Alligator mississippiensis: one gene and its partners. The protein of the gene in region 1 purifies or fractionates together with the protein of each later gene. This does not show direct contact. Links are inferred from orthologs where the notes say so. Each region holds a gene or a part of one and is shown on either strand. Other genes may lie near its edges. The genes, in order: POP4, RPP25, RPP40 and RPP38.

Evidence for each region.
Region 2: the proteins of POP4 (region 1) and RPP25 purify together in Homo sapiens (affinity purification with mass spectrometry; 3 studies listed by BioGRID and IntAct, counting the BioPlex papers as one, with this or other methods). This does not show direct contact. The link is inferred for Alligator mississippiensis from reciprocal best matches to the Homo sapiens genes POP4 and RPP25.
Region 3: the proteins of POP4 (region 1) and RPP40 purify together in Homo sapiens (affinity purification with mass spectrometry; 3 studies listed by BioGRID and IntAct, counting the BioPlex papers as one, with this or other methods). This does not show direct contact. The link is inferred for Alligator mississippiensis from reciprocal best matches to the Homo sapiens genes POP4 and RPP40.
Region 4: the proteins of POP4 (region 1) and RPP38 purify together in Homo sapiens (affinity purification with mass spectrometry; 4 studies listed by BioGRID and IntAct, counting the BioPlex papers as one, with this or other methods). This does not show direct contact. The link is inferred for Alligator mississippiensis from reciprocal best matches to the Homo sapiens genes POP4 and RPP38.

Annotation. Positions count from the first base shown.
Region 1 is NC_081833.1:57,323,618-57,330,501, forward strand, and holds the start of POP4 (ribonuclease P protein subunit p29), read left to right. Parts: upstream 1-3,863; 5' UTR 3,864-3,959; coding exon 3,960-3,966; intron 3,967-4,133; coding exon 4,134-4,186; intron 4,187-5,603; coding exon 5,604-5,827; intron 5,828-6,757; coding exon 6,758-6,835; intron 6,836-6,884. UniProt on the Homo sapiens protein: Component of ribonuclease P, a ribonucleoprotein complex that generates mature tRNA molecules by cleaving their 5'-ends.
Region 2 is NC_081834.1:27,514,643-27,520,313, forward strand, and holds RPP25 (ribonuclease P protein subunit p25), read right to left. Parts: upstream 1,848-5,671; 5' UTR 1,478-1,847; intron 1,315-1,477; 5' UTR 1,314-1,314; coding exon 654-1,313; 3' UTR 522-653; downstream 1-521. UniProt on the Homo sapiens protein: Component of ribonuclease P, a ribonucleoprotein complex that generates mature tRNA molecules by cleaving their 5'-ends. Also a component of the MRP ribonuclease complex, which cleaves pre-rRNA sequences.
Region 3 is NC_081826.1:122,607,792-122,615,695, forward strand, and holds the start of RPP40 (ribonuclease P protein subunit p40), read right to left. Parts: upstream 3,003-7,904; 5' UTR 2,915-3,002; coding exon 2,789-2,914; intron 992-2,788; coding exon 847-991; intron 1-846. UniProt on the Homo sapiens protein: Component of ribonuclease P, a ribonucleoprotein complex that generates mature tRNA molecules by cleaving their 5'-ends. Also a component of the MRP ribonuclease complex, which cleaves pre-rRNA sequences.
Region 4 is NC_081828.1:179,774,102-179,781,739, reverse strand, and holds the start of RPP38 (ribonuclease P protein subunit p38), read right to left. Parts: upstream 3,018-7,638; 5' UTR 2,187-3,017; intron 174-2,186; 5' UTR 143-173; coding exon 1-142. UniProt on the Homo sapiens protein: Component of ribonuclease P, a ribonucleoprotein complex that generates mature tRNA molecules by cleaving their 5'-ends. Also a component of the MRP ribonuclease complex, which cleaves pre-rRNA sequences.

The DNA of each region.
Region 1 (6,884 bases):
ACTTTAAGAAGGCCTTTGATACCCCATCCTCATCAATAAATTAAGTGACTGTGGCATTGATGCCTACACAGTTGTATGGGTAAAAAACTAGCTGATGGGGCGCACCCAGAGAGTAGTGGTGGACGGGTTGTACTCAGCCTGGTTAGATGTGAGCAGTGGGATACCCCAGGGCTCGGTCCTTGGGCCCTCGCTGTTTAACATCTTCATCAGAAACTTGGATGAGGATGTGGATGTGGGGCGAGGTGGACACACTTGAAGGGAGAGAGAGGCTGCAACTAGATTTAGACAGACTACAAAAGTGGGCAGACGAGACTAGGATGGGGTTCAATGTAGACAAATGCAGGGTGCTGCACCTTGGGAGAAGGAATCCACAGCATGCATACAGACTGGGGGGCTCCCTTCTTGAAAGCACAGAGGCAAAACGGGATCTTGGAGTCATTACTGACTCCAAGATGAACATAAGCCGCCAATGCCAGACTGCAGCCAGCAAGGCCAGCCATACCTTGTCTTGCATCCAAAGGTGCATCTCAAGCCAGTCCAGAGAGGTAATACTCCCCCTCTATGCGACTTTGGTCAGGTCGCAATTGGAGTACTGCATCCAGTACTGGGCGCTGCACTTCAAAAGGGATGTGGCCAGCCTGGAGAGGGTTCAGAGAAGGGCCACCCACTTGGTGAGAGGGCAGCAGGACAGGCCCTATGAGGAGAGACTGAGGGACCTGAACCTGTTCAGCCTTAGCAAGAGGAGGCTGAGGGGGACCTAGTGGCTGCCTACAAGCTCATCAGGGGAGATCAACAGCAAATAGGCAGAGCCCTTTTCTCCCCAGCACCACCTGTTGTTCCATCTCCATCAGCTGATTACTATTGTTCTGAGGTAACAAGGAACAATAGTAATCAGCTCATGGAGAATAGGTTTAAGTTAGAGATCAGAAGGCAATATTTTATAGTTAACGGTGGCCAAAATCTGGAACCAACTTCCCAGGGAAGTGGTCCTGGCCCCTACCTTGGGCAAATTCAAGAGGAGGTTGGACGATCACCTGTCTGGGGTCTTGTGAACCCAGCATTCATTCCTGCCTGTGGCAGGGGGTCAGGCTAGATGATCTGTTCAGGTCCTTCCTGGCCCTAGCTACTGTGAAACTATGAAAACACTGAAATCCAAAAGAACTATGAGAGCTTACAGCACTGCTGTTCCCCAAAACCTGCAAAGCTGTAACTGAGAGGCGCATGTTTTGAGCTGAAGAGTAGGCCTGTGCGAGTTGGCAGTGATCCAATCTGGCTTCGGATCCGGCCACTTCAGATGGCAGCGATCCGATCCGGAGCTTCGGAGCCGCCTCGGAGATCCGGCCATAGGGTATAATGGGGAATCAACGAAATAGCTATAACTTTATTATTTCATGTCTGACTTGGATGAAACTTGCAGGGAGGGTAGCCTCTGCTGAGAGCATGAAACCTGCCAAGTTTCAAGAATATCGGTGAAGGGGTTTGAGGGAACTGTACCCCAAATTCTTGAAAGCCAAACTCCTGTCACAGCTGTGTGTTACACCACAGTGGGGTGAAACTGCAGGGCTGGTAGCTCTTACTGAGGCCACAAAGCCTGCCACGTTTCTAGGAGACAGGTGCAGGGGTTTGGCAGGAACTGCCCCTCAAGCTGCAGACAAGCAAAACTCATGCCATGGGTGACACTGCGTGTGTTAAGGCACAGCGGGGTGACATCTGCAGGGATGGTGGCCCCTGCTGTGACGCCTGCCAGCTGTGGAGGAGATTGGTGCAGGGGGTTCTGGGGCCCTGCACCCCTAGCTGCTGACAGGCAAAAAAAACTGCGCCAAAACTGTGTCTGTCTTGGGGCAGTTGTTGGTCTGTATTGAGACTTTCCTTCCCTTAGCCTGGTTTTGTAGGTGCTAACTGAGGCTCGTTAAGTCTTTATGTAGTAGCTAGGTCCTGTGTACTGAGCTGGTCCCTGAGTGAATCATGGTTGATTGATTGGTAACTGGGAACACAGCAGCTTAGCAGCCAGGCCTGCAGCAGTCTCCCCCCTCCCCACCCCAACACAGTCACAGTCAGTCCCACAAGCACCCATGGCACCAGTTTTGCTTGTCCGCAGCTTGAGGGGCAGTTCCCCCCAACGTCCAATCTTCTTGAAACTTGTCAGGCTTTGTGGCCTCACTAAGACCTACCACCCCTGCAGTTTTGACCTCCCTGTGTTGTAATACATAGAAGTGACAGGAGTTTTGCTTTCAACAATTTGGGGTACAGTTGTCCCAAGCCCCCACAATGATCTTCTCAAACCTGGCAGGCTTTGTGGCCTCAATAAGAACTACTACCCCACTATAGTGTAACGCCTAGATGTGACATGAGTTTTGCTTTCAAGAATTTGGGGTACAGTTCCCCCCAAACCCCTGCACTGATCTTCTTGAAACTTGGTAGGCTTCATCCTCTCTACAGAGTCTAGCACCCCTGAAGATTTCATCCAAACCAGACTAAAAACAATAAAGTTATCAATATTTTATTGTTTCCCCATTACACCCGATGGCCAGATCTCCGAGGTGGCACCAAAGCGCTTTGGGAAGCCGAATGAGGCCAGCGCTTTGACCCAGACATGCTGCTTCGGACCCCGAAGCATCCGAAGCTTCTCCGGATCTGAAGCTTTGTCTGAAGCCTCGCACGGCCGTACTGAAAAGAGCAGACAAGGGAAGCAGAAAGCAGCTCAAGTTGCTCATCTTGCTGCCCCCACCCTGAAGAGTTCCTGGAGCTGAAGGTGGGGCAGCGGGGCCCCCAGCTTGGCACAGAAGATGGGGACGAAAGGGAGAGGAGCAGAGATGAGGCAGGAGCCAGCGCAGCTGCCCTGAGAGACACGGGGGCAGAACACAGGGCAAATGGGCCAGCGATACTTAGGGACTTGAGGACAGGCAGAAAGCTGGTGCTGCAAGGCCCCAAATCCTCTTAAGCAATCTGCCTCACAACACATACCTACACAGAGGTTGTGACTGGAGGTATCTACATCTGTCAGCCTCTTCAAATGTCACAAACGTTGGGTCCCTCTAAGACTGGTTTGCAACCTGTGGTCCATGCACCCTTGGGCCCGCAGACCATGTCTAAGGGGTCGGTGTAAGATGACTACGCTCAGTCAGAAGCATGTGAATACCCAAACAGGAACACACCTCCATGCCAAACTTTTTAAGGGTCCACGAATGAAAAAATGTTGAAAACCACTGCTCTAGGGCACCGATCACCAGCCTTTTAAGCTCCAGGCTCCCCCGGACAGGGGTCCCCTGGGACAATGCCAGCTCTTGGTTTTCACTCGTGTTTTGGCCACACAAAACGAGCTGCTCGCCCGCTGGGAAGAATGGCCACAGCCCATGGGGCCGGAGTGCTCTCAACGCCGTGGATTCCCGCGGGACACGTGGGGGTCTATGGGTGACCCCAGCCTGCAGCCTGGACAGCTCCCAGGGACCCCACTCTGGCCTCATGGGTCTGAGCTCTCCAAGGGCTAGTGAGGCTCCTGGGGGTCCTGCTGCATGGAAGTGTGTGTGTGTGTGTGTGTGTGTGTGTGCGTGAGGGGGGGTAGTCCTGCTTCAAATGATCTGGGCCGGGGCGGACGGGGGCTGGACGGGCGCATGCGCAGCCCCGGACTGGGACCAGGATCAGCACGTGGAGGCGAACGCGAGAACTTCGCCACGCCTGCGCATGCGCCCAACAGTGACCCAACACCGCCCGAGTTCCGACGCCAACATTCCCTGCCCCCACCGCTGAGCGCATGCGCCTCGCCTTCCCTGGGGATGGTACTGCACATGCGTCAGTTACCCCTCCGTCTTTTTTTTTTTTTCCCTTTTGCGCACGCGCATGGAGGCGATCTCCTAACGGGCAACTGCGCCTGCGCCTCTCCCTCCCCCGCCCCGTTCGTCACCGCGTTGCTGCGCTTTGACTTCATCAGAGCGAGCCGGAAGTGCTGGGGTGCCGTCGGGATGGAGAGTGAGCGCGCGGGGGCTTGGGGCCCTTCTCACGGAATTGACTGGGAGGAGCCGCTCCCCTCGGAGCCGGGCGAGGGAGGGGAAAAGGGACAAGGGGAGGGGGAGGTAAGGGGCTGCAGTAAGCAGTGCTCGTGAAAACCCAGAGCCTTGTGCCTTCGTGTGTTACAGAGATGATCTACAGCAAACTGCCTGTGCTGGCCACCCAGCACCTGGGCATCCAGGTACGTCCCGCCCTCAGCGCTGCTGTCGTTCCTTCGTGTCATTGCCGACAGCGATTGCATAACGTGACATCGTCGTGTCCGCCCGGGCCGTGCGTTGGCTGACAGGCGGGTCTCCATCTCCCCGGGGGCTCGTTCGTTTGGCCCCTGTTTGAATCCAGCGGTCGTCGGAGCGCCGTGGCCGCACCAAGGAACTTCCACCACTTTGGGGCGGGCAAGGCCGCAGCCATCCTCGCAGAGCCCTGAGTCAACGGTCCAAAAAGGAGAACCCCGATGAGCTCGCTTGACGGCGGTTTATTTAAACAAGATCCTGACAACATTTAAAGCAGCTTTCCGAGGCTTTCTGTACCACTATTGGCCACCACTTGAAGTCTTTCCTCTCCTAGGCTCTTCTTTTGTGCAGTGGGTTTTGTGCAGGTAGATGCCTGCGCCTCCCGCAGCCTCGGCAAGGGGCAGGGAGTCTAGCATAGAAGTCACTGCAGTAACGAGGCCCTGTTGATTGCCTCGAGATGCAGTTACATTGGCGTAGGATCACAGGGACTGGGGGAAGGAAGACCGCAATATTTATGCGTTATGTTGCCGGCTTTTTTTTGAGGTGTGCATGATAGTGATGCCTGAAATATTTGAAAAGTGCTTGCACTGAAAACAGAGCCAAAATTGCAGTGTGTTGCCCTTTATTTTGTGTTATAGGAAACATGGAAAAGGATTAAACTGTCTTGTATTAGTGCTGTGCACTTGCATATTAAATTTGAAACAGCTGTATGTGGTTTGTTGAGGGTATGGTTTGTATTGGGGAAAAGACTTATTAAACCTGTGGCACTTCATGGGGTGGGGGAGGAATCTCAAGTCACTTTTCTTGTACAAACAGTTTTTTACACCTATGTTTCTTCCTTCATGATAAAGAATATCAGGATGTTAAGAATTCCGTCTTAGCCACTGGGTACCTCACACTTTTCTATAAACTTTGAACTCTTGGCTATTGAGAGTCTAAAGTTAGAAACCTATGAAGTTACCTGTAAGCAGTGACTTATTTGAACTGAAAAGTTATCACAAATAACTTGAAGCAAGCTAGCATGCAAACTATTGTTAACCATTTTTGCATAGCTAACTTACTGCGAATAGACTTCCTTGACGCACAAGGCAGCTACAGTTGGCATTAATTTGGCATGCTTTTGGCCTCTTCAGATGAAAAATGTATAGCTGTGTAAACTAAATTGTAATCTCAGTTCTAGAGTCAATCCCTTCATCTACTTTGAGATGCATATTTGTATAATTGGAATACAAATGAGTTTATCCTTTTAAAATATTTCCATTTGTGCTATGATTCATCTGCAGGTCTCTAAATACTATAATGGTGTAGGCTTCTGATGAAACCTCCAGTCAATTATATGGTTTTCTTGACTAGTAATTTGTTTTTTAGCGTCAAGGATCAAAGCAGGCTGAAGCTTTTGTAAAAGCCTTTCTGAAGCGTAGTATGCCAAAAATGAAAGATGAAGCTATCCAGGATAAATTAACTCGAAAAGCTGTAGTTCTTCGGCATTATCTGAGAAGAAAGAAGAAGGAGAAAAGAAAGAAAACAAAGGGGTTTTCTGCAAAGCAGAGAAGAGAAATGCAGCTCTTTGAAATTAAACCAGAACAACAGAAGTAAGATCTCAAAGGTTTTCTTTACTGAATTATCAATAAAAATGTGCAGGTAACAGCATGTCTGATGCTAAGCACTTTGCTTATAAAGTTATTAATCTATTTAGCGAAGTTAGTTGTTCCGTGCTGTTCATGCTCAAATGACTGCACAGAGACTAGTAACTACAGTTGATAGTTAATTATGACCAGATAAACTGTCACACTTTACATCACATGCTTTATTAAAATACATTTTCTTTGTAACCCAGTTGTAGTTGATACGAAATTAAGTTGACGGGGAAAAACAAGTATGTGCTTCTAAGCATGGCAAACATAGTAACTTCCTCAGTTAGGCCTGTTAGCAGTGTCCCTAGTAAATACAGAGGCAGCACATTAGTGCTGGTCTTCTTAGAGTAAGTATTCTTGCAATTTTGAATGACTTACGACGGTAGTTTCCAACATTTCCTGCCCTATGGGCCAGATGAATGATGCAGGGTTGGTCTGTAGGCTAGATCCGATGCATGGCCCTTGCTCTGCGTGTGCCAGATTGGCCTGCCACCCGGGCCCTGCACGCATTGGATTGAGGCCACTGTCCCACATGGGGCCCATATGATCTGGCCTGTGGGGCTTGTAAATTTGGAGGCAGGGGGAAAATGGCAGTGTAAATTGTCACTGCTCTTCCCCCCACCCCCACCCATCAAATCTGTGGAATTGTGGGGAGCCCCATGAGTTGGATGGCATGACTCTGCAGGCTGGATCTGGCCCACAGAGCTGCAGTTTAAGTACTGCTGACTTACAACATAGTAATGTCATGGGAACAAATAAGAAACGTAACAAATACAAGTCTTAACTTTATTTGCAAGTATGGATCACGTTAGTAGTCCAAGCTGTTGTTTTTTTAACTAATGAAAAGCAGTTCTTGTATAATCTCTCATTTTGTTGGTTATGCTATAGGTATGAGTTGTTTCTTCCGTTACACGAGCTCTGGAAACAATACATACGGGACCTGTGCAACGGACTCAGACCAGAGGCGTAAGTTGAGTTTGTTTATGAACATGGAAGGGATGGATTTGAAAGAACC
Region 2 (5,671 bases), on another chromosome or scaffold:
ACACACACACACACACACACACACACTCCGGCTTCCCATATGGGACTCTTGCCCTATTTCCACATCTGTTAATCTGCCACTTGGGCTTTATCCAGTGGCTAGCAGGTTTAACCTTTTCCAATCAGTAATCACACATGCCACCCCTTTACTTTCCCACCCCTTGAGCATACCCCATCATACTCCTTTTTCCTTTTTAGTTTGCACTTTCCTTGGAGCAGGATACTTAGTCTTTACCTGGTACCTGAAGCTCAGTGTAAGGTGTTGTACCCACACCATTATGACCACCAACCCACTGCAACCATATGCCCAGGAGCTGTCCCCTGTACCTTGCTGCCTTTCCATTGGAGGGGTATCTCTGTCCACACCACACTCCCTGCAGCTTGGAAATGGCTCGCCCTCCTCCTGCTACTACCAAAGAGGCAGAGGAGTGTGTGTGGGAAGGGAAGGGGGAAAGATTACCCATGTCTATGAAAGAAGGTAAGCATGGGGACAGCCAAGACCACCAGGACTCATGACCAAGCTAGTTGCTGACTTCATTGTCCCTTTATTGATTACAAAGCATCTAAAAATCTGGAGTGTCTTCAATATAGAATCTCATTTCTATAGAAACTATGTATGGCTTAGGTTATTTCTCAGAGTGGGAGGTGGGGCAGTCAGTGAGGATAGTCCAGCATGTAGTCCATCATCCCTGAGCCCTTTTGACTCTCTGGTACCTGTACCTGCAACTTCTTGTTATTCAGTTCCTCCTGTGGAGATGTCAAAGGTCTCTTCATGCCCTTTGGGGAGGAAGTGGATATCTCATCCTCTATCTCCTCCTCTTCTGGCCAGAGCCCTTCCCTGGGCTCTGGGGGTTGGTAGCCCATTTCACTGGGATCCAGGGGGTCCTTGGAGAGCAGGATGCAGATGGAGGGCACATTCTTATGGACAGTCAGGGTCTCCACTTGGCCATTGGGCAGAGGGTCCTTGTTTTCCCAGACTTCCACCAGGGTCTTGTAGCGCACCTTGGTGACCTGGTGGAGACCCCCCAGCTTCCTTTTCATGATCTCCACACAAGTAATGGTCTTGGTGACCGCCCGGCCACAGCCACTGAAGACAATCTGCCGAGTGCCCTTCAGCTCCATCCTGGACATGGCAAACCCCATCAAGTTTCGGATCTTGCTGCCCTCCTTCACCTTCATTTCCACCACATCAGGGGCCAGGCCAGTAAAGGGCAGCGGGCTGTCTTCCTCTGATGTCTTCACCTTCCTGAAGTTCTCCATCCTGGACTGGGTGACAGGAGGCATGGGCTTGGATTCTGCCCCTTCAGCAGCCATCCTTCCCCAGGGAGAAAATGAGCAAGGTCAGGAACCTAAACCCCAATGTCCATTGCAAAGGCTCCCGGGGAAGTACCAGACTCCCTCAGCTGTGGGTCAGCAAGCAGAGGGGCAAGTTTAGTCCTGCTCCCCCATTATCCCACTTCTGCCGACTGGCTACTCACCCCTCTCGCTGGGCAGGTGAAGAAGGACTTTGGGTGAAGCCTGACCAGTCCCCTGTGGTGGCTGTGCTGGACAGTCAGTCCCCAGAAGAGACAGAGCTGCAGAATCCTCCCTGGGTGGGAATCCCTCACAGTGCCTGCACTTAGCAATGCCTGGGCTCCTCCGCTCCCACTGCAGCACTCCTTTCTGCTGCTCTGTGCTTCATTCTGGACTTCAGCAGCCCCCAGAGCTGTTTTGTGTAATTAGTAGATCCTCCCTCTTCTCCTCCTCCCCCGCTTTCCTCCTCCCTCACCCCACGCCCCTGCTCAGCCTCCCATCCCAGCACAGAGCTCTCTGCTTCATCCCCCCAACCCTACTTCCCTGGCTGGTAGGAGAGTCTGACTTTTCCCTAGTCCAAGAGAAGCTGGAAGGGGGGGGGAGGGGAGTGGAAGGGGGGCTGGAGGTGGGGGAGAAGGAAAGCTACTCTTTCTTCATGATGCTTCCAGAGTCCTGCCCCCTTAAAGAGAAACTGGCCCCTTCTCCTGGGTGATTTCTCCAGCTCAAGGACATTAACTGCTAAATGCAAATGTCAGCAAAGTACCGGCAGCTGCTTGCTCCTGCTTTTCCATGACTGGCTGAGTTAGCTCTGACACTGAGCATCCCCACCAGGGGACCAAGCTCCCTGCAGGCAGAGCAGGGCCCTTCATTAAGCTGATGTGTGCAGGCTGATTTATTGTTGTATTCATTGTAGTGTCCTTCAGGGCTTGGACACATGGCCCATTTGCATGGGTGCAATCAGCCCATGTACATGGGTGTCAGGAAGGAGCGGACACACAGCGTTCAGCCCTACACTGGAATGCCTGACTTGAAGCCCTTGTAGAATTACCCTGGGGGAAACATCAGAGTTAAAACGACACTGGGGTAAGTTACACTATGGGTCCAGAGCAATCCTGGGGTAGCTGCTTGATATAAGGCAAATCGTGTTCTCCTGCCACCTAGTGGTCAGGAACTGTAAGAGCATCAACTTCTGTTACCACTTACCCTGAGATAGCAGGTCGTCTGTCTGCTCCAGAGCCTGGGATCATTTATATCAGTACAAAACCAGTATATAGGATGGTGGTATATAGTGTGTCCAGACTCGTAGATCCCCTGTTCTCCTGAGTCACTAGGGAGACTCCTTGTGCAGGGAACCCCGGGACCCTCTCTGGATGGAAGTGTTGGGCCTGTTGTTGAGTGGACCCAGCTCCTAGATCCCACACACTTCAAAGCCCGCTGGGTCTGGGAAAAGCAGTTCCTCCTTCATCACCAGACACAGTGAGGGGTGGGCATATGTGAGGGCAGAGTGGCTGGAGAGGAGCCACATGTTGCTATGTGCTGAGAGCTCCAGATTGCCTCACTTCAGCTTTGCCAAGACCTGGTGCTCTGGGGCCCCTGAGAACTCCTCCCTGCCAAGCAGACTAAGTGTGGCAGGAAGAAAAGAAGGCAGCAGCCCAGCCCAGGCCCAGGCAGAGGGACCCCAGCAGCGGGAGACAGTGCCAGAGTGCCCCTGCTGCCATCCTGCCTTCCCAGAGAGAGAGAGAGAGGCATCCTCTGCTGTGGCCTTTAATGCAGCTGAGGAGGCCTTCTACTACCACTCCTAAGGGGAAAGAAGAGAGTCCTTTGGTCTATAGGACTGGAGACAGGCCCACTGCTACCACTACTCCCACTAGAGGGCAGGAGAATCCCTCAGTCCCTAGTGGGGAGTCTCCTGTGAGCCTCAGCCTTCAAATCTCAGGTTAGTCTCAAGCACATTTAAGGCCTCTGTGGTTCCCAGGCCCCCTCTTCAGCAGCAGGACTGGAAGGGGAGGGACTGGCCCACCCTAAGCCTCATTCACCCCATTAGTGGCAACCTAGACATTCAGAAACACTAAGGCAATGTGAAGAGAAGAGGAATGAACATGGAAATTGAACTCTTCTCCCATTCAGGGGAGGGGGAAGGAGAGAGGCTAATGGTCATGATGTAGGGTCTAGCATTAGACCAGAGGAGAAACCTTTCTTGCCCTCATGTCCTTATCCCTCTAGGGGAAGACAGTGCTTCCATGTGATGGCTGAAGTGTACCAGAGGAGAGGAATGAACCCATGTGTGACTGGATAAGGGCTCCTGAGGGGCAGGGGAGCCTTCTGGTCAGGTTACCCTTCCTCTGCTGAGACAGGGTGGTGCCTGAATCCCCTCCTTACTCTAGGTGAGGGGTGCCTCATCCCTGCACAGGGTGGTACTGGGTCCCAATCCCAGTCCATCAGCTGGGCAGTATGTGTGATCCCAGGAGCAGAGGAACACAAGGAGATGGGCAGGCACTGCCTCTGACAGTGATGATTCAGTCATCGCGGCTTTCTCATCAACTAGCAATTAAGGCCACAGGGCTGGATGCCTGGTGAGCGTTCTCACTCTGCTGCATAAAAGATGGAGTAAAGGAACTCAATAACTGTCATAAAGAAGGAAGAACAGTGGCTTCACCAGGCAGGCGAGGATCAATATCCAATTGGTGGTGACACAAGGCCCCCCGCCAGCACTGGCTGCAGCTACTGGCACCCATATGACTGATAGGCTGGGCCACAGACTTCCCCTTGCTGCTTTGCCCTTCCCTTGTCCTTTACCTCTTCCTTCAAGCTACCCCCTTCTCCTCTGTCTCCCTTTTAACTTTCCCTCCATTTTCTTCTTTTACCCTCCTCTTTACTTCTTTCCTATATAATTTGTTCTCCTCTTCCAATTTCTCCCCATGCTCCACTCCAGTGTGGGCTGTCAGTCCCAGCCTGGATCATTGCGAACAGGGGATGGAGTGAGTTCAATGTGAAATGCAAGCTGAGGATGCAGGGCATTCATCTTTTCACTCACTTTCTACCCATTTATCTTTCCTCTTTCACGTTCCTCCTTTTCTCTGTCACTCCATCAGAGCCTTTCCCTTGTTTCTCTTTCCCTCTGGTGCAGGGCAGTAAATCTCCCCCCTCAACGAATTAACCCTCCCTGAGTGTTCAGAGTGAATTATCGCCTCATCTATAATCATCCAGAGACAAAGATAGATGATTGTTTAGGAGAGAGAGACTGCTGGAGAGGGAGGGAGGCTGGGAGGGAAACAGCTCTAAAGACTTCATAGCTGCTGGGCCTATCTAGGGAAACATTTCAAGGGAAAGTCTTCTCCACAGAATCTCCTCTAGAAGATGCCGTGGTGACTAGACCTGGATAACTCCAGCTAGGCCAGGGCCAACTGCTCCTAGGGTTCCTCCCTCCCAACTGCGCAGTGCACACTCCACGTCCTCTCCTCAGAAGCCTTGTCTACATTACAGACTATTTATCACAAAGGCCTACTCTTGCCAACTCTAGTTCAGGTGCGCTGGCAGGCCCAGAGGGCTGCTTCTGCTCTGCCTGGATGGGAAGATGAGTCACCTGTCTCAGAAAATTTCCTTGAGCGCTTCTTGGAGGGAACTCTGTTGTTAAGTGAAGAGGAGTCTCCCTGAAGGAGCAGCTGTGATCCAGCTCCCATGTCATGTTTCTGTGGCCGCAGTGTGACATGCAGCAAGACACAGAGACTTTACGTTTGTTCTCTCTTCTCCTATTGTTTCCTTCCATTGACAATAAAAATCATTTGGACTGAAAGTGCAAGGTTGCTCTTCATGGCTCATAAAATATAACACGGACATCATCAAATGATGAAGATTTTGGCCTCACAAAACATTCAAGCTGAGATCAAAACCTCCTTCCAATCTCAACATAAAATCCTTGGACCAAGGGCCAGATTCACATAGGGATTTTGGCACCCAAAATTGTTAATAGGCATCTAGTAGGCTTAATAGCCATTCAAATAAATGGGGTTCAGGTGCCTGAAATATTGTAATGCTTTTTTAAATCCAATTAAATGCTTCTCTACATCTCTGAGAAGGGTCCTGGCAGGTTGGTGCAAGGGATGAGGCAAGGGGTAATGTGGCATCATATGATAATTACATTTAGGGGTCTGCTGCTTTCTTCAACTATCTGAATGCTTCAGTATGATGCATCATTCACTCCTGCATGCGGAGGGTGGGCCCAATGCAGTGAAAGACCAAGTTCTTGTCAGAGCCAGGCAAGAAACGAGGTGTAACTGAGGTCTCCAATAAATCACAATTTTCTCCCTGTATGAGCAGAACAGAGGGCCCTGGCCACCCAGTGAGGTGAGTAATTAGTCTGGCTGTGCTGTTGGTTAGTT
Region 3 (7,904 bases), on another chromosome or scaffold:
AATACCCAATTAAAATTATAAGGGAAATCTGCACTGGCAGATCATGAATACCCAAATGGAAATGAGTTAGAACACAGAGGCCAATAGTCTTCCTTCCCTTTCTTTTTATGACAAATGCCATGGGTCTTACACATGTTCACCTTTTGCTATTCCCAATGGGGTCTCATCTCCCAAACTGGAACTTTTTACATCTCACTGTCCCCCATTCATCTGTAAAACCACTTAATGATTCTTACCTCAAAACTCTCTAAGGCAAGAAAACAAAGTAATAATAACTGAAATCTTGGAATCCTTACTTTTAAATGACCTAAAACATTACTCTCTAACTAGTGGCTCTCAAGATCATTCCTGATAGAAGTGTGCAGGGACAAAGTACTATAAAGGACAGAAAAATAAATGCTTTCAGGAAACAGTGTACCTTTACAAGCACTGGTCTCGGGGTGCTAGCCAAAAAGCTCTATTAATCTAACTGAAGTACAGAAGTCTCTTTTTCTCCCATCATAAAAAAAAAAAAACCCAAGGAAAAACAATTACACAAAAGCCAATGCACACTGACTTGCTGACTCTCCTCTCCTCTCCCTGTCCACTTTTCTTACTGTTTCTTTTACCAACCTCTTCCTCTGCATTATGACAGCTATACAAGTATATATATAAGTGAACAGAAAGAAAGGGAGATGACGGGACTGATACAGATTTCTACTCGAATACTTTTCTCTTTCTGCTTACAAATAACTTTCAGAACCAAGACTACCCCACACAGAAACTAACAAAAACATGTTTTATTATTAAAAGAACAGATGACACCTTTTTATTTGTTTGTCTTATTTGTTTTAAGCTCTCCTTTACCTGTCTTTACAAATGCACTGATAAATTCCTGTGCAACCAATTCATGAAGGGGTAAATTCTTCACCAGGTAGTACTCTCCCATATCTGTGGTAACACTTTTCAGAGGTTCTGGAAGCACGCCACATTCAGGAATCAAAAATGACACCTGTTAGGACCATATTTGTAATACACATTAGATGTTACACTCATACATAAGGAAAGGTCTAAAACAGGGCTGGAGGAGAAAGAGAGAGAAAACACAGAGTTCTTGTATCTGGGTGGTTCCCTAATGTGCCAAATTTTCAAAACCTCATTCAGCATATCATATGTAGCATTGCAACATGATTTGTGTGTCAGAAACTTTGAAACACTGCAACCTGCAGGCCAAAAATGGATTAAGCTTAGTTATAAATTACAGAAAGACTTTCCCTGAGGAACTGCATATTTCTTGAGGATGTTTCTCCAAAATGCTTATAAAACATTAAATGAAACAATATGCATACCAATCAATCCTGGAATCAGTGGAGAAAACATCAGTGGACATCCACTTTGCAACAGATAGCAAACATGGAAGCTGGGATAGCGTGTAGCACTACACAGAAGTAAAAACAGCTTTCTCAATTGGGGGAGGAGGGAAAACCGGAGTCGAGAAGCAGAAAATAAAGAAGATACCTGAATTTAAACTACAGAAATGTGCACTTTTCATATTGTGGGCAGTGTAATCAAGACTGATGCAGTGCACCCAAGCAAGGTTAGGCAAATCAACTGCAATATCTTGAACTTGTCATACTTGCTAGTGTTTAAAGAAAAAAAACTTCAAAGAAATAAAGCATCTGTGTTTTAATCTCCCATTTTATTATGTGAATGCCATATTCACAAGGCTACAGCAACCACCACAGGCATGGTTTCAATACTAACTCCACACAGTGACTTCAGAGTATATAAAGAATTATTGTGGTGATAATATGGACAACCTGTTGCTCCATTTCACACAGGAATTAACTCAAAACAGGTGGCAGCAGTGGTGATTTAATTCATGTCAGAGCAGGGACAAAACAACGTAAAAACCAAGTGACAGGCACATTACATCCAACAAATAAAAACAAGCTCTAACATAATTGCTCCAAACAGAATAAGAAAAAACATATAGAAATGCTTTAAGTCAATTATATCAGCAATAGTTTCCCATTAATTTCCTTGAGCCACTGGTATCACAGCCTAAGACTGGGAAAATCTTATTTCCTAGCTGGACAATCAAATTCAAAGTCTCGGCTGCTTTAAAGGAGCAATGACATTTTTGTCACCCACTTGCAGGTGCTTGCCCGCCAAGCAGTGCTAATGCTGTGCCGCCCCCTAAAACGGCCCCAGGGGCCCTGGCTGAGACTCTCTGTGCCCCTGCTGCCCTGTTACAACCGGGCAGGGAGGGCGATTGCTTTGCTCTGGGCTAGAAACCCTGTGCTGAGTTTGGGTTGGGTTTGGTTTTTTGGCTCGTCTCCCAGCTCTGCCGCAGGCTTGGACCTTGATGAGCCTCAGTCTTCCTACCTGTAAAATGGGGAGAGGGCCAAGTGCGCAAGCAAAAGCTCTGGGCAGGACAGCCCAGCCTGGGCATTAAGGGCACCCAGGAAGAGAGGGACAGGAACCCTTCCTGGGGTTTAATGACAACAATGCGTTGCTCTCCCTCAGCAAGAGCAGACAGGCAGTGTGAGCTGGTGACCACACAACCTTGTGCCTCAGTTTTCCCATCTGTAAAATGGGGAGAGGCTGGGTGAGCACCCAGCCCAAAGCTCAGGGCACTGTCTCATCCTGAGCATTAAGGGCATCCCTGCACCTAACCGGTGGGGGTCCCTCGGGTTTAATGTGTGATTGATCAATTAATTAATAGTTTAATTGCTCTCCCTAACGAGTCCCAGGCGAGCCGGGAGCGACGTCACGCCGCGAAGCCCCGCCCCCCGGGCGCACTCACGCGGCAGTTGTAGGCGTGGCCCCGCACGCGCGCCGCGTGGCGAGAGCGCTCGTGCCGCACGTGGCTCCTCTCGCAGACCAGCAGGTGCCGCGGGGTCTCGCGGAGCCTCCGCAGCGGCGCCGACATGCTGCAGCCAGCGCGGAACCCCCAGCCGGCAATCAGGAGCCGGGCCGAGCCGCGTCACCAAACCGGGGCTGGCGGAAGAAGCTCGTGAAGTCACTTCCGGCGGCTTTCCTCCGCCTCCCTGCAGCTACTTCCGGGGCCGGCTTTTGCAGGGTGGAAGGCGCCTGAGGGGTGTGCGCATGCTCAGTGCTGCCTGGGGAAGGTGTTGCCCTCAGTCTGCCTTCATCTCATGTTAAGAGGCAGAGGAGAAGCAGGAAGGGTGGAGTGCTGCTGCTTATGGTCAGCTGGTGACTGCCTGCTAGGAACCTCATGTAGAGGTTGTCCTGCACCGTTTAAACATTATTTGTGTGTTGTCCCCCTCCACACCGCTAAGTATTAGTTCCTCCTGGTTTGCAGAATTGTCAGGGGCAAACACTGAGGCATCATCATTTGGGCAAGAAAAGCTTCTACAATCTAATGGATTTGTCTAAATTAATTATTTTCCAAATCTTGGCTGTGAGCTTGGCCCCAAGCATTGTTTTTGTTACTGATGAGATTAGAAATCTCCTTTTAAGAAGAAGAAGAAAAAAAAGCTGTTTTTCATGTAATCACTAGACTCCAGGAGCTGGGGACTTGGAAAAAGGATGCAAGAGCTGTGATAAAACCACAAGCCTTGATGAAGCTGAGGAGATACTTTCAAATCCTCATCTGTCTCCAGGAGCTGAGGAAGTAAAACAAAATGTTCTCAAGTCGGAAGAAAATCACTAGAGAAGCTAGCAACACGGAAACTGCAGCCTGCTAAACAGTTAATTCATCACCTGTCCCACTCGAGAGTTAAGGCTATTTTGTGGGGGGTGGAATGAGATCTTCTATTGGACCAACTGCATGGTTGGAAGAGATTTTGGATGAGTGTTCAAACACAAGGTTTTGGGCAATGGAGAGTTAAACTTTTTAAAAATGTATGTATCATGGTACTTAAAGGAACTTTGTGTCATCAGTGTGAGGGAAAGAGAAGTTAATCTCCTAGCCAAATGCAAAACAGTGTCAGAAAAACGTGGGTGAGACTGGTGTACGAAGTGTAGAACTCCTTCCATGATCAATACCATGGTTAGGCCTAGTTTTTTGTTGCTTTGCCTATATGCTATGTTTACACTAGAACATTTTATTTACAGACAAACAATGTGAGTTCACTGTGGATAGATAATATTATCAAATAATTGATTTTGCATTTGCTGTAGTCCTTTCACACCATGCACATTATTAGTAGAAGTATTTCTAGCATGGTTCCTACACCATCACATGGGAAATTCCTCACCCTCATCACAAACACACACTCGCACTCAATGAGCACCGATAATGGTACAAGCTGTAGGAAATTCCATCATTTTCTTTCTCACACGCTTTGACAACATTACATCTCATAGGAAACCCCTAGGCACACTGGTAATCATCTCATCCACAGAAAGCTGTGTTGCTAATACATCCTACAAGATTCATTCATCGCTCTTAAATGTAGATACTTCTCTTTCTACATTGATAGTGGCAGGACATCAGTGTAGGATGTCAGCTGTTACCTTTCCTGCCAGTAAGTACAGTAATATAATATCCCCTAATCCAGCCACTTCAGGCAGGCACTAATAATGAATGAGCCATCCTTCATGTACTCTCATGCCTTGTATTCTAGACAGCAATTAAGAAATGGTAATTGACGTCTTCCACTCAAGATTCCTCCTATGAACCAGAAAAAATGACTGGAACAATTAGGAAGCATGTTTTCTCCTTGCTATTTCAGGAGCCCTGCTGAGAAGAGTCAGAATCCTGAGAGAGATGGTCCTTGGAAATATTGAGCAAATGAGGGATGTGTTGAAGCATGTAGACATCTTGACTGTGTGAAGCGAAAATGGATGTGTTAGGGCCCTGCTAGAGGTGTAAAGACTCAACCCACAAGATGTCAAACGTGCTGGAGGCAGTTTACCAACCTGCCCCTTTGGCAGACAACTCATAATCCTACACAGGAAATAAATATCTGGACCTTGGAAAACTGTGAAGTGTGTTGAGAACTTGTAAGACAGGCCAGTACATAGATTCTGCTCAGGTGTTATCACAATCTCGTGGGAATTTTTGGGACTCTTTGAGCTATCTATGAATTTGGGCTCATTGAGACTCTGTGAGTATTCCTCATATGCATCCAGTTTGACAGGATTTAAAAAATGTTGCATTTCTATTTTACTGGGCTTGCAAGATAGAAATGCTGAATCGTAAGTAGGCTTGAGCCTTGACATCAGTCTAAGCCATATCTGATGAGTTAGAGGCTTCATAGAGACCCTAGCCTTCACATTAGTCTGAGATAGTTACCCCACAAAGACGTAGTAGTATAGGAAGGCATGATTATGACTTTTCTAAGATTGTTTAAAGATGACGGATGTGTAAATTGCCTTTTCCTTTTCTACTTACTCTTCCTCCTTCCTTAGCCATCATCTCTTTGTTTTCTGTCATTCTGGTTGCTCTTTCAGCTTAGACTAGTACAAACTACCTGAAGTGACCATAATCACAGCTACCAAGTCAACTCATCTTCAAATGTCTCCCAGAGTTTTTCAATACATAAATAATAGAAGCTGTAAATGCTGAGTCTGAAAGAAGACAGGTTTTATAATAGTCCATCAACAATTGCTCCAGGAATAACCAAGAGCTTGTGTAAGATTGCTACCTTAGCAATGTTAGTATATCAAGTTAAAGTTAAGCCACAGTACTGTGAAGGTCATGGCACAGCATCTAACTTTTATTATCTCATGTCAGCACGTAGGACTATGTGAGAATGATTGCTTACTTCTCTAATTGGGTGGCTGCCAAGAAAAAAAGTCCTGTTGGTTGCTGCACTGTTTTTAAGAGACAGGATACAATTAGGTCATTTCCAAATGGATCTAAAGTGTCAGACCTCTGTTATTTCACTAGCTCACCTGATATATAGTTTGCTGGACTAATGTCAGAGCTCAAGTCTGACTTCATTAGCTCACTCACCAAGTGATAGCTTGAACTGATGTAAATATTTTGGGTTCCTGTAAATTGACTAGCTCAACACCTCCAGCTTGCTGGACTAAGGACGAACCGTGAGCTTCTGGGAGCTGACCATCTATACCACTGTAGTGTGCTGGGCTGGTATCCAGGCACAAAACTCGATTAGGATCAGCTCTCTCAATGGCTCTAGCCTGCTGGTATCATGCCATAGATGCCTGTATGACATCCCTGGCTCAGCACTTTTGGCTTCCTGGACTGATATCAAGCCACAAACATATTTTGGGTAACTATCACAGAAGTTATAGCTCTTGAACTGATGTGAAGTTTTGCATCTCTTTAGATATACCTTCAACTCATGTCAAGGCTCATGCCTCCCTAAGGTTAGTAGCTCAGCATTTTACCTTGCCAAATCGATATCAAAGCTGAGGCCTCTGCGACATATATGTTTGTGCTCCATTGGTACAGTCTGTAGCTATATTATGATCTAGGCCTTGGTCTCTGATATTGCTGGCTCACGCCTATACTCTACTTGCTGATTTATTTGAAGAGGCTGGTTAATATGTGTCCTAGAAGAACCATAGATTACTGGTTTGATAGTAGGTGCAAGGCCATTATGAATTCACTAGCTCAGTACTGGCTTGCTTGGCTGATTCTAAGACTGATCTCTGTAAAGTGTCTGGCTTTATGAGTACACCTTTCTGCGGTGATGCCAACCACCGTCTGCTTGGAGCTCATTGGTTCAGCACTTCCAGTTTGCTAGATTTTTGTTAAGGTATAGGGTTTGGAAGTCACTGGCTCAGTGACCTTTTTAAAGGGTAGTTTAAATTCTACAAATAAGCCAACTGCATGTGTAATTACAAGGCTCCTAATTTGAAAATAATGTACCTGTTACATTTCATTTCCCTCTGGCTGATATTCACATGGTCATTTATAAAATATAAAAATTAGATGATTAGTGTCAACTAAATAAAGTATGCAGCTGCAAGATTCAACTATCAGCATATAGATACAGCATTTGCAGACCTTCAGGCAAAGCTTGTGTCAACAGATGAGCTTTGCACCGTTATTTGAACATGAGTCGACTTACGCTCTGTCACAACAGTGAAAAGTGTTCATTCATTTGCAGTGCAGCTCTTATCTTGTGGAGGGGTAATAATGAGAGGATTAGTGCTTTCTGCTGTTGCTAAATTAAGTTCAATGAAAAATAAAAGTGTTGGGCAGGGTCTGGACAAACACCATTTGGAGCTGTGTATCTGGCAGAGCCTAGCTGGGTTTTTTTAGGGATGGTGATCAGAGCATATTTTACTCCATTTCAGTAGAGTCCTGTAATTTTCATTGCTATATTCTTAGACTGATGCAACTGCCAAGCTATCACTGTTATCCCTCACTCGCACATTGATTGTCACCAGATTCAGTGATGTGTATTAAAAAAAACCTTTGCAATGTATACAATAGTCTTTAAAATGTCAGAGTATTCATGTTTAAATATAAGCTGTCTCAGGGCATGGTAACTGTTGTAAATGTTGACTTCCTTACAGTGACTACTATATTTCTGTGTTTAGCTAGGTGTGAGGTTTCTAAGTATTGTGACATTGGGCATTTTAAACATGAAATCATTTGTATTTCTCAGACCCTGGAAATTCACCGCAGTCTCGGTAGCTGTCTCCACTCAAAATCTGGGTAATTAGGTAATACAACAGTTTGGTTTTTATGTGTTTGAAAAAAATTATAGGTTGTCATCAAGAAGTAGCATTTTGAGGCAGAGTGTAGTAATGGCTTGGAGTTGGGTAGGATTTGTGAAATGTTTCCTGGCACTGGTGAAGAACTGACTCTGTTTTCTATAAAGATGACAGGATTTGGAATGAAATTCCTAGTCTTCACATTATCTGGAAAAGTTTCTTGTCAGAAGGCAACAGCTTCTTCCATATATTTTTTTCAGCTTTGAAACCAGATCTGGTTTGTCAAAGCTGAGGTGCAATGTAAAGCACAAAATGAACTT
Region 4 (7,638 bases), on another chromosome or scaffold:
CTTCCAAGGTCTGTAGTATAAAGTGCACATCTTCTCCCTCTAGAGTACGCCATGTGATAACATATGGGTTATTTAAAGAAGTTTTCACAGAAATTTTCTTTGTTTTACGGACTGATCCACCCCCTGCCTTCACTATAGGCATCTTGATACTGGTTTGTGTTTTAGCAGCTCAGCTGTGGATGAAAGAAGAGATAACTTATTAGCAAATGGTCCACAAGAAGGACCCCCTTACTTTCTTAGCTTAAAACAAAGTTAAACTTAAGAGGCATATGTATGTAACATTGGCCTTTACAAAATACTTGGCTATGCAGTGTCTACCTTATTCATTTTCAACAGGTTAACACTTGCACCCAAGTGACTCACCTGAAAGTGAACAAAAACAACTGGAAACACTACAGACAGGGCCATCCCTGGAGGGCGGGGAAGGGGGTGCGAATCAGGGCAACTGCCCCAGGCCCCGTGGCCAGTGCCATACAGGCCCCGCTTCATGCCACCAGCTCCACACTTTGGCCACTTGCACCCCTTCTCCCCCCCTGGTCCCACACACCCCTAGGCACAGCTCTGACTATTCTCTTAATCTGTAATGGTCATAAAACTAAATTAGAATGTGTAGGAAATGCTAAATTTTGACTCTTGTATTGTGACAGCAAGGGTATGCCAACAGTAAACAAAGGTGTAATTGTAGCATGCGCAGGCATACCCACACTAGTAAACTGACACACACAATATTAACAATGAAGATGCGTGTAACCTGCTCTGAAGTCTGGTATAAAAAGTCTGCTGGAGACCCAAACTGAATACCTGCTCAGAAGTTAGTGATGATGTCCAAGTTACCCTGTTATTCCTAGCTATCCAATTCAAGTCCTAATAACTTCATCTGAAAGTAAATATACTCCCACAGGTCAAGAGGGTTGGACCATGGTCTTCTATAAGAATCCACAATTACTGAAGAGCAAGTCTCCCTCCATGGAGAAGGCCAGATACAGATCTTAAATCGCACTTCAAAGGACCAAGTATCATTAGTTTATGCATGCTCTCTCAAAATTATCATTTCATGAGTCATTACAGTCCTGCATTCACTGACGAAAAGGTTGGTTTTTCACATAGGTTTGGAGTGTTGTAGCCATGATAGTACAAGAATATATGAACAGCAAAAAAACCCTTGCTTCTCCTTGGTTGTTCATTCAAGGTAACTTAACTTGACTGGAAACCCCATCTGACAGTTATGCCTGCACACTCCTGATCCCTGGAACTGCACATCTTCTAGCCTTACCTCCTATTTAATGCCACAACACAATCTACTCACACAGCTGGAAAGTGCCCTCTCTAAATTAAGGTTTTATTTATATCAGGGGAACTGTGTCCAAGATCCAGCCCACAAGCCAGATCCAACCAGTGGGTCTTGGACCAAACCCTTGGCACCACATGGAGCATGTGCTGGCCCCAGCCCCACCTACTGCATGAAACACAGCCGTGTCATCAGGACTCTGCGATGTAGACAAGGCCCATGCCACTTCTACACAGACGCATGAGAATGGGGGTGAACATTTCAACAGAGAAACCACAATTATCTTTTTTGCTAGTCTACATGGGGCTGACACTTTTCTGGGAAATCAATCCTCACCAGTTGCTTACAATACAAATTAAAAAATGGTTAACAGCAGTCATGTATATTGTTCAAAACATCTACCTGTATGCAAAGACCTTTGAAAAATATGTAATGTGGGGTTATTATTGCAATGATGAGTGGCCAGAGAATGTGACAGGTGGCCGCACCACCCCAAAAACAGGAGGGGCCAAAGGGGAGAAAGCCTCTCCTGCTGAAGAGGCTGTGTGCATGCACCTGGGGTAGAGTCAGGAGGAAATGCCATTTTGAAGGCTGTGAATGAGACAACCCAGTGATGTGCTGGGCAGAGACGGGGAAGAAAGCATTAGCGGAGGGACACACAAAAAGCAGGGGGTCACCAATGAGCTCTGCCTTTAATGACCTGCTGCTTTGTGCGCCTCTGCGGCTTCCCTCCCCGCTCCTGTCCCGCACCCAGCCGGGCCCCGCGCTCCAGGCCTGCAAGCCGGCACCTTCGCGCCCCCCCGCCCTCGTTCCCCTGCCGGCTCCGCCCCAGGCGCGCTCCCGCGGAGGCCGCGACCCGCCTCGCAGAAGTGACGGGGCGGCGCCAAGAGGCCCTTACCCTGGGCCGGGCGCTGCAGGCGGCTCCTCCCGCCGCGCTCCGGGCCTGGCGCCACGCCGGGAGAGGAGGGACGACGGCCGCTCCGCACAGGGCACTGCTGCCCGCTGCTGACTTGAGGCCCTTCCACCGTGACCCCGGAACCGGAACCGGAACCCCAGACGTCCACGCGCATCTTCCTGCCGCAGTGCTACGTCAACAAGGTTACGTCGCTTCCTCCCCGTTCCGGATCTTCACGCGCATGTGCGTCTTAGCCCGGCGGAGGGGAAGGAGCGCTGGCTGCGTACTTTTGCGCGTGCGCCCTGCAGGCCCCGGCTCGGCCGGGGGTGGCGCTGCAGGCTCCTCAGCCCGACGCCGGGGCTGGGCCACTCCCAGCGTCGGGGGCGCAGCGCGGGCTTGGGCTCGTCTCACACCTGCCCCGCGCCCGGCAGGGCTTGCTCCTCAGGCTGGGTGCGGCCCTGCGCGCCGAACACCCCGCATGCCTGAGCGGGGTGGGGGTCTTCTGCGGGGCTGGGCCCGGCCGGGCTGGCAGTGTCGCGGGCGTCAGGATTGTTTTCAGCAAAAGGCTCCATCTGTGTTTTCTGTCCTAACAGTTTCCCTTGTGCGCACTAATATTTCTCTCCTCCTTTGTCTCTTAGTTTGGGGTTGCGGGGGTTGGGCGAAATAGCCAAGCATGCTGGATTTTTTCATGCAAGAGTCTGCTCATGCTCTTCAGGCTGATCTCCAGTCGGCTGTTGCACGTTTCTGCCCCCTGAGGAGCTTCTCAGAAACCCCGGTTGATCTGGTTAGGTGGTGGCCCCGCCCACCCCTCGGCTCCTCCTCTGGCTCCTTTGCTGCACTGCACATGCTGCGAGTCCCCTCTGCAGTAGCCTGGGAGCCTGCCGCTCTGAGCTGGGCTCCGAGCATGTCGCCGCCTCGCCTCGCCCCGCGCAACCGCTAGGGGCTGCCGTAGGTTCCATGCGCGAGCGGCAGGCATGTGGGCCTGTACTTGGGAGCAAAGGGTATCTGCCACACCCCAGAGAAGTAACTCAGAAAGGTCTGTCAGTTTCAATTTATAAAGCGCTTTGCAAAACAAGAAGAGAGAAATCAATGCACCACATTTCCAACATTTTTTATTCAAAACCGAAGACATTGCTGATGATAGTGCCATTGCTGCTGAAGCAGCTTATGTGTACCATGCAGTTGTATGTTATCACAGCTACTTGTTGCCTGACTGGGATGAAGCTGACCGACAAACGTATTTCTAATTCCAACTTGAATAAAAAAATCACTGCAGAAGAACAAAGTCTGGACGTTTTATGTAAAGTGTTTGGATACCTTATTCAATCACATTGCATTTGGGTAATTTTCAAGACAATCGTTTTTTACAGGTATGACCCTTCAAATGAAGGCAAAATTAAATATTACCTATTGGTTGTGTGGTATTTTTCACTGTTCAACAGTGTTAGTTTCCTTGATTAAACAGCTGATGCCCATAAGCAACTGGATTTATACAGTTCTGAATTAAATTAAAAATGGAAACATTGGAAAATGAGAAATTTAGCATCCTTTTGAAATACTAGCGACTAAATTTCAATGGGAAGAAAAGCCACACTTTAATATGGGACTTTATCACTAACCAAGAATGTGAGCTGGCATGTGACAAAGGCCTCTTTTTTCCTGAATCTACTTGTACTTTGCACAAAGCTACATGAATGTTTCTCACATGGTAATCAAAATGTTTGAAAGTCATGCAACTAGCCAACAGGTATGTATGGAGTAGTGAAAAATCTGAGCTCCAATCTGTAGAAGAAGCTCTGAGACTGCATCTTTGGTTTCATAGTGAACCAGAGCTTAAAGAAGTTGCCTACATTCTTCAGACTGCATTTAAATTAAATGAACTGAAGGTGTGAAGAATAGCATCCATTACTTGGGCCATGCCTGTACCACCTGAAGACTGCCTCAGAAGGTGGTGCAATCCAGCCTCTTATTCCCATTTCCACACTGCCCTTGTCATGGATGGATCAAAGCCCACTCGCACACAAAGGTGGTAATATTGCATCCATTCTTGATTACAATGCAGAAAGCAAAGGGGTGGTTTTCTTTCCTGCAGTGAGTGTTCTCTTGCACACAAGCAACCAGAGCATGTCCTTGATGCAAGGCCTTTGAAACACTTATCAGTTCTTAGTTTTCATATTTGGTTTGTATTTGAGGAGCTGATGCACTTTGTTAAAACTTCAGTATAGCAGTACTGAATGGAGGAGCATTGTACAATGAATAAGGGGTCTACTGAATACAAGGAGGCGGCTGGCTGGTTTCACAGGCAGATCCCAGGGCCGGTTACCATTTTCATGGGCTGAGTGCAACAGCCCCACACATGCCTCTGATTTGGAGATTGCACCAAACTGCTGATTAGATTGCTTAATAATGCATCAATTAATGGCTTTCTCAGGCTTAATCGGGATTAAACCCACAGAAGCCATTAATTGACATGTTATTAAGCAATCTAACCACTTAAACTCTAAAATTAATTATATTAATTAAACTCTAAAATGAATTATCATAAAGCTGTGCACACCATAAATTGTAACCAGTGCCATCTAAGCACTTAATTAAACTCCAAACTGAAGTATCTTATATAAATAAAGCTATACACAACATGAATTGCAACTAATACAACTGTCAGAACCTAGTAACTGAATGCCTCTGGCACAGTGGAAAGTCCCGGCGCAAGAAAATCCCCACCAAGTCCAACGGTCACCCCCATTTGTGTTTCAACAGCCCGTATAATTGGCTAGCCCCTGCACACTGCCCATTGGCCGGTTACCAAATTATACCCACTTGGTAAATAGTGATTGGCTTGTTAACCATATAAAGGTAAAAGCAGTTTCTGCCCTTGTTGGAGAACTCCACATGCATCCTGGAGTAAACTTGGCAGACTGATCACCCACCAACGACTCTCCGTCACCGATCCTCCCGACGTACCCCCTCCCTGTGCACTCGATAAGCCGTTTATGGAACGTCTCGTCTCGTTTTAAAGAGCTCTCGCTACGTTTGTAACTGCAACTTGAATCAATTTTCTTCCTGCACTGCACGCATCAGTGGCGTAAGTAAACAATCTATTTTCTACCAATACGCTTCTGTGCCTGATTCCACTCCACTCGCCAAGTACCCACCTGCCGTGCCGGGCTACTGGCCATAGCCCAGCAAGCGAGTTGGCAACGACAACAACCATATACACTTTATCAAAGGACATAAAAAGGAGTTTACTGAAACTGATGTTAACCTTGAGACAGACAATTCATGCTAACTATTAAATGCGAGCATGCTGCATCCAACCACAGTTGCTGCAGACATTCTCTGTCTCTGCGGGGTGAACACTTGTCCATACATTGAGATAGCAAGCTCAGCATCTACTGAGTTCATTGGAATGGTGAGGAAGCAACTTGTCAGGATGTACAGATGTGGAAACTGGTCAGAGTCCCCGAACACAGGCACAGGCATCTGGCACTCTTTGACAAAGTTCATGTAAGCAACACTTTCATTGTCATGTTCTTTCCCCCATCCCAGGATTGCTTTCAGTAGCTGAGGATCACAACTCAGAAAAGGCAACTGGTTGGGGTTCAAAATGTGAACAGCACTAAGGAAGGGGGCAGCCAGTTGTCTGAACTGCAGTTGTACCACAGGGACAGATGGGTCATTCCTGTAGTGCTGGTTCAGCTTCACAACTGTTGTCTGGAACAGGTCTCCTCTCCAGTGGTTTTCATGAGGACAGTTTGGCAGTTCTTGCAATACCATGTTTTCAGTCCAGCTTATCAAATCCAGCCCCTTGTTGTGTGTGTGGTGGATCACAGCTGGCTGGCCTTCAAACAAGGCAGGAGGTCCATGAACCTAGTGCCATTGTCAGCCACAAACATCACTTGATATTGAATGTCACCTCACCCTAAGATATCATGAAGTTTAAGCATGCACTCTTTGCTGGGTATGATTTTCAGCTCCTCGTCCACAAACGGTTGATAGTGCTAGATATGCTTGGCGTGGTAATGGACTGTGTTGAACCATGAATCCCATCTTGTGAGCACAGGCTCTGGTGGCAGTGGCACAGTGCCATGTGAGCCCCCAGTTTGACTAGCAACAGACTTGGACAGTGTCTGAAGGCTTTCTTGAAAGAGGGCACCAGGCTAGCCACATCAGGGAACTGCATGCGCCGTATGTCACTTACTGAGGACAGAATGTGAACGTTGCAGGTGACATGAACAGCATTGGGCAACATTCCTTGGAGCACGTCGGAGAAAGCTTTGCACGTGTACATGGCAGTGTCAGACAAGAATGCTGAAATCTTGTTAAAGTCTATGTCATAGCTGACAATTACCATCACAATGGCTTGAGACACAGTAGAAAAATGGACAGATGTGAGCTGGACCAGCTCAGTTTGAAACAGGCAGGTACTGGTCTGTCCAGCTCCCGAGTACAAATAAAATAAGCAGCACCTAGTTATCTTGAGGGTTGTTGTGCTTCATCATCCACAATGGATAAGGAGTCATACTCTGCAAAGGCAGACTTTTTTAACTGTACATGCAAAGCACTCACTGCAGGCAGATAGTCTTTTTGAAGCTTGTTGGTATGTGGAAAGCTGCCAGCATCTGGCACATTTTGATTCAGGTAGTACCTTAAGTTTGAGCGATCAAGTTTCTCTAGTAGGATGTTCGCCATTGCGAAAACCTCCACAAAGGAAAATCCCACCTCTTGCCTTGCCAAGCTGCTTTCTGTGGTCATTTTAAAGAGGGAGGACATGGTTCCTTGTTTCTTGCTCTGACCTTCAGCCTCTGCAACAGCCTTCTGCTTCATGTATGCCTTGAACTCTTAAGTTTTGATATACATTGGGTTTCCTCAACACATTCAGAGTTACGTTGTCGGTGGCACAGAAGAGTGCCTCCATCTATGCGCAAGATCCCTTCAGGATACAATCTTATATCGTCTAGCGTTGAAACATATTTGGGTGCCTTGGAGGATTTCTTCGAAGTCATCATCCTTGCTTCTCCTCAGGCTGCAACATGCTGTAACAGCATGCCTGCGGATACTTTAAAACCTGGTTCCCAAATCCTCCCATTTGCCTTTCTGGCTCTGAACTGGCTCCTGGACTGAGCCTATATCACTGGCTCAGCCTCTGATTTGCTCTCTCTCCCTCCTCCCAATTCCCCATGTACTTCAGCACTCCAGGGCTTCCCTTTTCTCTTCTTCCAGCTTTTTTTTTTCTCAGCGAGACTGCTTTTTTGTGGAGCCCAACCAAAATTGCAGTTTCTGCAAATATCTAAAAATGAATGATAAGTAACAGAAAATTAGGTTTGAAGGGAGTTTAGGAGGTCATCTAGTCCAACCCCCTGTTCAAAGCAGGACCATTCCCAACTACATCATCCCAGCCAAGGTTTTGTCTAGCCAGCTCTATAAAAACCTCCAGGGAAGGAGATTTCACAAC